2 linked regions of the Cricetulus griseus genome follow. The protein of the gene in region 1 purifies or fractionates together with the protein of each later gene. This does not show direct contact. Links are inferred from orthologs where the notes say so. Each region holds a gene or a part of one and is shown on either strand. Other genes may lie near its edges.

Region 1 (3,646 bases):
ACCCTGTGACCTTGAGGAACGGTCTGTCACCAAGGTGCTCCAGGTTGAGGAGGTGTAAAGCCGGGGCTTGTAGGTGTTCTCCGTGAGGTTCAGGCCTCTGTACTTGGCCAGTACTGGGAAAGGCACAGTGTGGAACTCCAGGGCCTCCATGGTCTTCCTTTGGAACAGTGCCTGGTGACCCTGGTACAAGGACAGGTTGAACTGCAGCTCAAACAGCTGCTGGGGCAGCATCATGGGGAAGCGGACCTGTTCCACCAGGCCCTCCACCTCAGCATGGGAGGCGCCACTCTCCGCGCTCCACTGATCCACGGCCTTCAGCAAGTCCAGCTCACTAGACACAGCCAGCTCACTCTTGGAGAGGAGAGCCTGGAGCAAGGTGGTGGGAACACTCAGCCAGGCCTCAACCTGTGTCAGAGGCTCAAAGTTCCAGGCCAGGAACTGCACGCACAGCTCTTCCAGCACAGAGTCCCTGGTGGCCTGTGCGTACTCATAGAGCTCCAGGGGCGTGTGGAAAGTGGGATCCTCGGGGAGGAGGGTGGCGAACAGCCGGCTGCAATAGTCTCGAAGCTGTGTGGCCCCGTAGGCAGAGGCTAGCTTGTGCAAGCACTTAACAGAAGACATGGTGACCTCGATTCTTCGGGAGTAAAAGTACCTGGGGGTGGGAGGGAGGTTAGGAAATGGAAGCCTGCCCTGACAGACAGCAGGGCTTTTGTTTGGCTTGCTTTCCCACACAGCTACCTACTACACCTTCACCATTGACCTCACGCCAGGGTGCCGCCACTAGTGGCAGCATTCACCTCCATTCTCATGCCAACTGACAGCAACTTTTGGGTGTTGGGCCACAGGGTGGATAGTTGTTGGCAATGACACTCACAGCCACTTTCTTCCTCATCTGTGAATGCCCTCACCTGAGGGGTTCCCACCTACATCTCCTGGTCACTCTGATGTCACTGTGAGCCTTGGACAGCAGAGGTCTAGACATGGGACCCTGCTGGGTTCCTGTGGGTACCTCTTTCTCCCCAAGCATCTGCTCTCTGTCAGGTGATAATGACACCCGATGATTTGGTCACCCGATTTCTGCTTCCCTGGGACTATGAGCCATGTGAGGGTCTGAGCCCACCAAGTCCAGAGTGACACCCTCCCTGTTGGTCCATAAATGTTCAAATAGAGTTGAGGGTTCCTGCCATTGGCTTCACAGCACCCCAGAGGTTGGGATGGCAACTCTCTCCTCAGGGCTGGTGCACACAACTCGTGGTAGACCATGCATAAAATCACCTCATAGGGAGGGCACGGGACAGTAGGATGCTACCACCAACCTCTCCCTGCTCTTGAAGGATTGGCACCAATTTCTAATCCTCATCCCACACCAGAGTGGTCCCTCAGACTGCTAGCAGCTATCTCTAAGTGCCAAGGGAGGCTGGGAAGTGCCAGGGTTCTTGTGAGTGCCTCTCTGCCCTCATGCCCCTCCCATGCTCCCTTACTCAGGGCCCAGTCTTAGTTTCCAGAAATCAGAGTGGGCCTCCCCACCCTGCCCATCCTTTTCAAGTAAAAATCACATATGCAGAGAGAGAGAGGGGAAAAGCCCAAAGCCAGCTTTTAGGCTCGAGGGACAGCGGGAGGAGTCTAGGGGACTGTTGTGTCTCCTGTGGCTGAACCCGTGTGTGTGTGTGTGTGTGTGTGTGTGTGTGTGTGTGTGTGTGTGTGTGTGTGTGTGTGTGTGTGTGTCCATCCTCAGAGGGAAAGGGGGGATGAAAGAGGAAGAGAGAGGGAGGGAGAGGGAGAAAGAGAGAGATAACAGGAGCCCAGACCTGAGGCCACAGCTGGGGGTGGGGCAGGGGGTTCAGGAAGGCAGGGATGACATCTGCTCCACCCTCCACTGTGTCTTAGACATAGAATTCACCAGGAGGACACAGGAACCCTGCCAGGTTTGCACACTAGGCTGGGAGCAAATGGTTCTAATCTGGGTTTAATTGCCAGTATTATTCTTATAAATGTCAGATTCCATTATATAAAGAATCGTGTCATAAGGGTGAGAGAGGGTACTTTTTAATAAATGTTCTATTTTAAAGAACCACTGCTTTCAAAATGCAAACCTCAGAGTCCTCCTGGGTGGGGAACCTGTGTAATCTTGACAATTAAGCAGAGAGGTATGGAGGGAAGGGTCGTGGCAGAGTCTGGGGAGGGATGTGGACCCCACTAACTGTCTCTACTCTCATCTGTAAGTATGGGGTAGTCTGAGAGGCTCCTCAGAGGGGCAAGCGTTCCCTCTTCCCTCACAGACAGTTTTAAAGTCATGGCTCCCTGCTGTTCTCTTAGCAAGACCGATAATGTGGGAAGGGAGGGCTCTTACGCTGAAGTTGGCAAGATGGCTCAGCAGCCAGTCAATTGCTACCACATCTGATGACCTGAGTTGGTCTCCAGAACCCACAGGAGAAGCTACTCCTGAAAGCTGTCCTCTGACCTCTGCATACACCCTGTGGGGACCACACAAACAAGCACACAGGAACCTCACATTGTATCTCTATCGTACCTAAGACACATGACATAGAGAGGGGAGGATCATGCGTGCATCTTACCTATACTGTCCATGCCTTTCTAAGGGCCCCAGGGAGTGGGAGGGGAAGCCTGGGACTTCATTCCAGCCTTGCTGTAGGATTCCATGCTGCCAGTTCCCACCTGGACTCTATTTCCATGCGCCCTCCCAGGTGGCTCCCAGGTGGCAAACTGCAGGCCAGTACTCCATGCTGAAGTCACAACCTCAGAATACCAAACCCTTCTTACAGGATTTGGAGTATTTAGAGTCGTATAGTGAAAATGCATGTATCTGTGTGCACTTAATGTGGGTGGGAGTGCACGTGGGCACACCAGTTCAGTGTGTATGGGGTGCTTTATGGTAGGAGTGCTCTGGTGGTCTGAATAGTCCCCATTCAGACATATGTGATTGCTTAGTCACCAGGCAATGGGACTGTTTGAAAAGATTAGAAGGATTAGGAGGTGTGACCTTGTTGGAGATGTGTCACTGGGGGTGGGCTCTGACCTTTCAAAAGCCCATGACAGGCCCAGTCTCTCTCTGCCTGTGGATCAGGTGGTAAAGCTCTCAGCTACGGCTCTACCAAGGTCCACTGCCACCACCAAGGTGACGATGAACTAAACCTCTGAAGCTGCAAGCAAGCCCCAATTAAATGCTTTTTTTTTTTTTTTTTGAAAACCAGCCTTGGTCATAGTGTCTCTTTACAGGAATAGAACAGTGATTAAGATAAGTAGACAAACAGGCACATGTAAAAGTAAGGTTTGGATGCATGAGAACGTGTTTATACAGGTGCAGGGAGCATCTGGATACATAAGTGTGTGTGTGTGTGTGTGTGTGTGTGCCCAAAGGTGGTGAGTATTCACATGTATGAGTGTTCAATGCTTCCATGTAAGAGCAGGGAGCATCTGGGTGTTAATGTGTGCTCACATTAACACATTAGCACATGCAGCAAGTGTTGCGGTGTGTCTCCACGTGACACTGAGGTAGGTGGGAGAGTTTGTCACCGTCTGTCTGCCAGGGCAGATGTGTGCAGTGTGAAGAAGCATGCACCCATGTGTGATATGTGTGTTGCACCAGCCCATGCTTGAGTATGAGGGGCAGATCTGCCACTCTGCC
Region 2 (4,338 bases), on another chromosome or scaffold:
GCTAGGTCCCACCTGATCTAAGAAGACCAACCTCCTCAAGTAGTTCTTTAACAACCATCCCCCAAGACACACACCAAATAAATAAATAAATAAATAAATAAATAAATAAATAAATAAGGCAACCTGAGTGACCCAGTGATAAGAGGCAGAAAGAAAGACATAAAGACCACCAGGGGTCCCTTCACAGTGTAGCATACACAGTGTCCTGGTTAATACCAGGAAAGGACTGGACAAGGACAATGTGGAACCATTTCCCTACACTCACCTCAAAGTGTCACCATCCACAAGAATATGTTTGAACCTCTCCTGATATCGGAAAGCCCGAACCTCTCGAATCTCCCGAATCCTCCTTCTCCAATTCAGAAACCGGTAGTGCAAGTTGAGGTCATCCATCTTGTTCATGAGAACAAACCTATGAGAAGAGAAATGACTGAGAAGGAAGTGGAGCTCAGCACAGAGTACCTCAAGCCTGCTCAATCTTGAATGTGCAGAGTGTTCCAGATGTCCAGATGCATCTCAATAACTCCAGCCTCAGCCACTCAGTCAATAGATATGCACTGTCATCGAAGCTAGGAACAAAGCTATGAGCAAGACAGATGGGGTTCATGATCTTGTAGAGTCTCCAGTCTCATTAGGCATGAGGAAGCATAGCAGATAATAAGCACAAATGAACATTTTAGCCATTGGAAGCAAAAAAAAGAAAAAAAAACAGATGTAACAGTGGACAAGGACAGTCTTAGAGGCACAGGATGTTGGCTGTACAGAGGCAGTCAACATGAGAGTACAACAAAAATCATTCCAGGCAGAGGAACAGTCAAGGCACAGTCCTTGGGTAGAAGAAAGGTGTCATGGTAGAGAAAGACAGAAGGTCAGAGTGGCTGTTATATATGGAAGGTGAATAAGAATAGGATAAGGCAAGAGACTATCCAGTCAGGAGTTTAAATTTTATTTCAAGGGTATCGAGAAACCTCTGTGGAATTTTAAGCAAGAAATGGTATGATTTTAAAATATATCAAATCTTGTTGGGTATGGTGCTACTAGTTTTTAATCCTGGAAAATTTTAAACTTCTTTATTATTTTGTTTTTGCTTTCAACTTCTTTATTATTTTTATGTGTATGGGTGTTTTCCTGCATGTATGTCTACGCATACTGTATATGTTTGGTGCCTTTAGAGACCAGAAGAGGGCATCATATCTCCTAGAATTGTAGTTACAGACAGCTGTGAGCTACCATGTGGGTGCTGGGAATTGAATCCTAGATCCTCTGGGAGAGAAGCCAGTGCTTTTTCTGGCGAGGGAGAGGGGGATTTCAAAACAGGGTTTCTCTTTGTAGCCCTCCCTGTCCTGGAACTTTGTAGACCAGGCTGACCTCAAACTCAGAGATCCACCTGCCTCTGTCTCCCAAATTCTGGGATTAAAGGCACACACCACCACTACAACCAGGCATAAAGCTAGTGCTTTTTGTTTGTTTTGTTTTGTTTTTGAGACAAGGTGTCTCCATTTAGTCCTGGCTGTCCTGGAACTCACTCTGTAGACCAGAGTGGCCTCAAACTCACAGAGATCCTGGAAAGGCATGTGCCACCATGCCCAGCAAGCCAGTGTTCTTAACCACCAAGCCATCTCTCCTGCCCATAATACCAGCACTTTTTTTTTTTTTTTTTGAGTTAGCCCTGGCTGTCCTGGAACACGCTCTGTAGACCAGGCTGGCTGCCAACTTGCAGAAACCCCCTGCCTCCTGAGTGCTGGGATTAAAGTCATGTACCACCAGCACCTGGCAATCATTTCTAGCACTTTTAATTCCAGGCAGAGGCAAATAGATCTCTGAGTTCTAGAACAGCCTGGTCTACATAGTGTGTGCTGGGCCAGCCAAGGCTATAGAGTGAGGCCTTGTCTCAAACAAAAGAAAAAAGAGCTTATCAGATCTTAACTCTCATTTCCAAGTGTAATTGTGACAGCAGTTCAAGAGACGGCAGACACCAAAAGGAGAAAAGGAATGGAATGGGGACTCTTTGGCATTTAGACAACCCTCAAGGCAAATGACTGACTGAATAAAATTTTCCAGAGAGCCAAAAGTGGGAAAACGATGAAGCAATCTTTTCTTCTTCCCAGTCCCCAAACACCTGGCACAGTACCCCACCCTCAACACACACAGCAGGTGCTTAGCAAACCTAGGCTAAGCTGAGTTCGACTCAAGTGCGCACACCAGGACTCTTCTGAAGGAGCTACAGACCACCACATGCTCCAGAGGAAGACAACTGTGGCACTGCACCAGCATTCCCCTCCTGGGCCCTGGGCCAGGACTTGAACCCAGGCAGCAGCTGGAGCCCCAGACTTGAAGACACCTGATCTTCGAGAACCCAGCAGCCTCAGCACCGACCAGCAGCAGCATCGGCGCTGGGTGCCTCCCCCCCGCCCCGCGCAGCCTCAGCACCATCGGGTCACTCAGATGAGACCCGGGGGCCAGCGGGCCTTCACCTGTCAATGCGGCTACGCCCGGTCTCCACAGGCCCCGCACTAGGGGAGGGTGCGCGCCGGGAGGACCACTAGTGACCAGAACCCCAGGCCCCGCCCCTGAGCCGGGAGCCGTCTTCCAGGACCCCCGCCTCGAGCTCTGCAGAGACCGAGGCCTCCGGGACCCCGCCCCCGATCCCCGCCTACCGGGGCCGCCGCGTCCTCCTCATCCATAGGCCTCTCAGCTCCGCGCTGTAGCTCTTCGGCCGCCGCCACCACACACATCCGGGTCCCCGCCCTTCCTATGCTCCGCGAGGCCCGCCCCCTACGCCGAATCCGCCCAATCGTCAGCGGTGTTTGCAGATGGGCACCCACATCAGCCAATCGCAGGGCAGTAGCGGTGTGGGGCGCGGCCCGGTGAGCCGGGTACCTAACACTCGCCGGCGTCTGAGGAACCTTGGTGTCGGGAGGGTGGGGGAGGCGACGTGGCGGCACGGACGCCACCGTGGGCGCCAGGAGCTCGGGGAGGCGGTCAAGGGGCGGCTCCCTTGGGGCGGAGCGGGTCACTGTGCACGCGCAAGCATCACAGTAGTAGAGCAAGGAGTGATGCTAAAAGCCTTACTGGAATGTCCTTTTGATCCACGTAACAGCCTGGGGGGGGGAGGGGGATCTTAAAATTATCTCCTTTTTACGCGTGAGGAACCAGAGGCTGAGCTCCACAGCGGTCGCACTCAGCTGATTCCTTGTGTTTTCTTCTTTCCAGAGCACCACTTTGCATCACATTCGTTCATTCCAGGAAGGACGTTCCAGAACAGGAGAGAACTTCAGTTGCAAAAAGCACAGTGAGATGATACCCAGTGCTGTTTGGGAACAGAGTGCTTGGTGGGAAAGTTAGGTCAGGTCAGAATATCCTGCCCTTGGGAAAAATTGGGCGTGACTTCCATGTCTTTTGTTTTGTTTTGTTTGTTTTTCGAGACAGGGTTTCTCTGTGGCTTTGGAGGCTGTCTTGGAACTAACTCTTGTCTGGTCTCGAACTTACAGAGATCCACCTGCCTCTGCCTCCCGAGTGCTGGGACTAAAGGCGTGCGCCACCACCACCTGGTGACTTACATGTCTTGTCCCAAGACTGAATATTCTTTCCAGATAGACTCACCCTGTCTTGAGTACCCTGTGTCAGAAACATGAACAAACATATTTGTGTCTTTCCACATCTGAATTTATTGAGTAACAATAAATTAACAAGCTATCTGGGTCTCCTTGGCCACAATTAGCTAATGAGTCCTGATTTACATGAACAACTGGCTTTTAGCAAGCACAGGTTCTTTTACTTCAATATTAATCACTAACTCTTGGGTCACACATTACACTTCATGTGTATACATATGTAGTTTATACTGTGGCTACAAAGGGGTTAAAGAAACCACAGCATAATTCAAGAGTTCAGAGGCCTTACAGAGACAGAGCCAATAGGTTAAGGCAAAGTTACTGCAACCAGAGAACAAATCCAGCTAGAGAGCTGCTAGAGATGCAGCCTGGAAGGCAGCCACAGCTGCTGCTTCAGAGCCAAGCAGCAGGTCACAGGGCTGAGTCCAGCATCAGAGGCAAAATACAGGACTGGTTATGGGTGAATTGACGGGCAGACGGTAATCTAAGTAGGTTTCATCAGCAGTGGACATGAGCTGAGTGAGCTGAAGTCCCAGAGACAGTCAGGATTTCTCTGTTGTCCTTTGAGGCACACACACAGGGTGGCCAGTGGGGTGGGGACCATTGTCATCACAGTGTTAAATGTCCTCCTCATTGTGGGGTCCAACTGAGGGTGTTGCACCCTTTCTAGGATTGATAAGTTCTTGAGCCTGCTGATACCTACTGGGCATATGTTCTCATCTAT

Evidence for each region. Proteins that work in one complex are often made in the same cells at the same time.
Region 2: the proteins of Lgals3bp (region 1) and Spryd3 purify together in Homo sapiens (co-immunoprecipitation; 3 studies listed by BioGRID and IntAct, counting the BioPlex papers as one, with this or other methods). This does not show direct contact. The link is inferred for Cricetulus griseus from reciprocal best matches to the Homo sapiens genes LGALS3BP and SPRYD3.

Annotation. Positions count from the first base shown.
Region 1 is NC_048600.1:130,937,531-130,941,176, forward strand, and holds part of Lgals3bp (galectin-3-binding protein), read right to left. Parts: intron 653-3,646; coding exon 1-652.
Region 2 is NC_048595.1:398,533,819-398,538,156, forward strand, and holds the start of Spryd3 (SPRY domain-containing protein 3), read right to left. Parts: upstream 2,808-4,338; 5' UTR 2,681-2,807; coding exon 2,658-2,680; intron 2,611-2,657; exon of another isoform or gene 2,475-2,610; intron 413-2,474; coding exon 266-412; intron 1-265.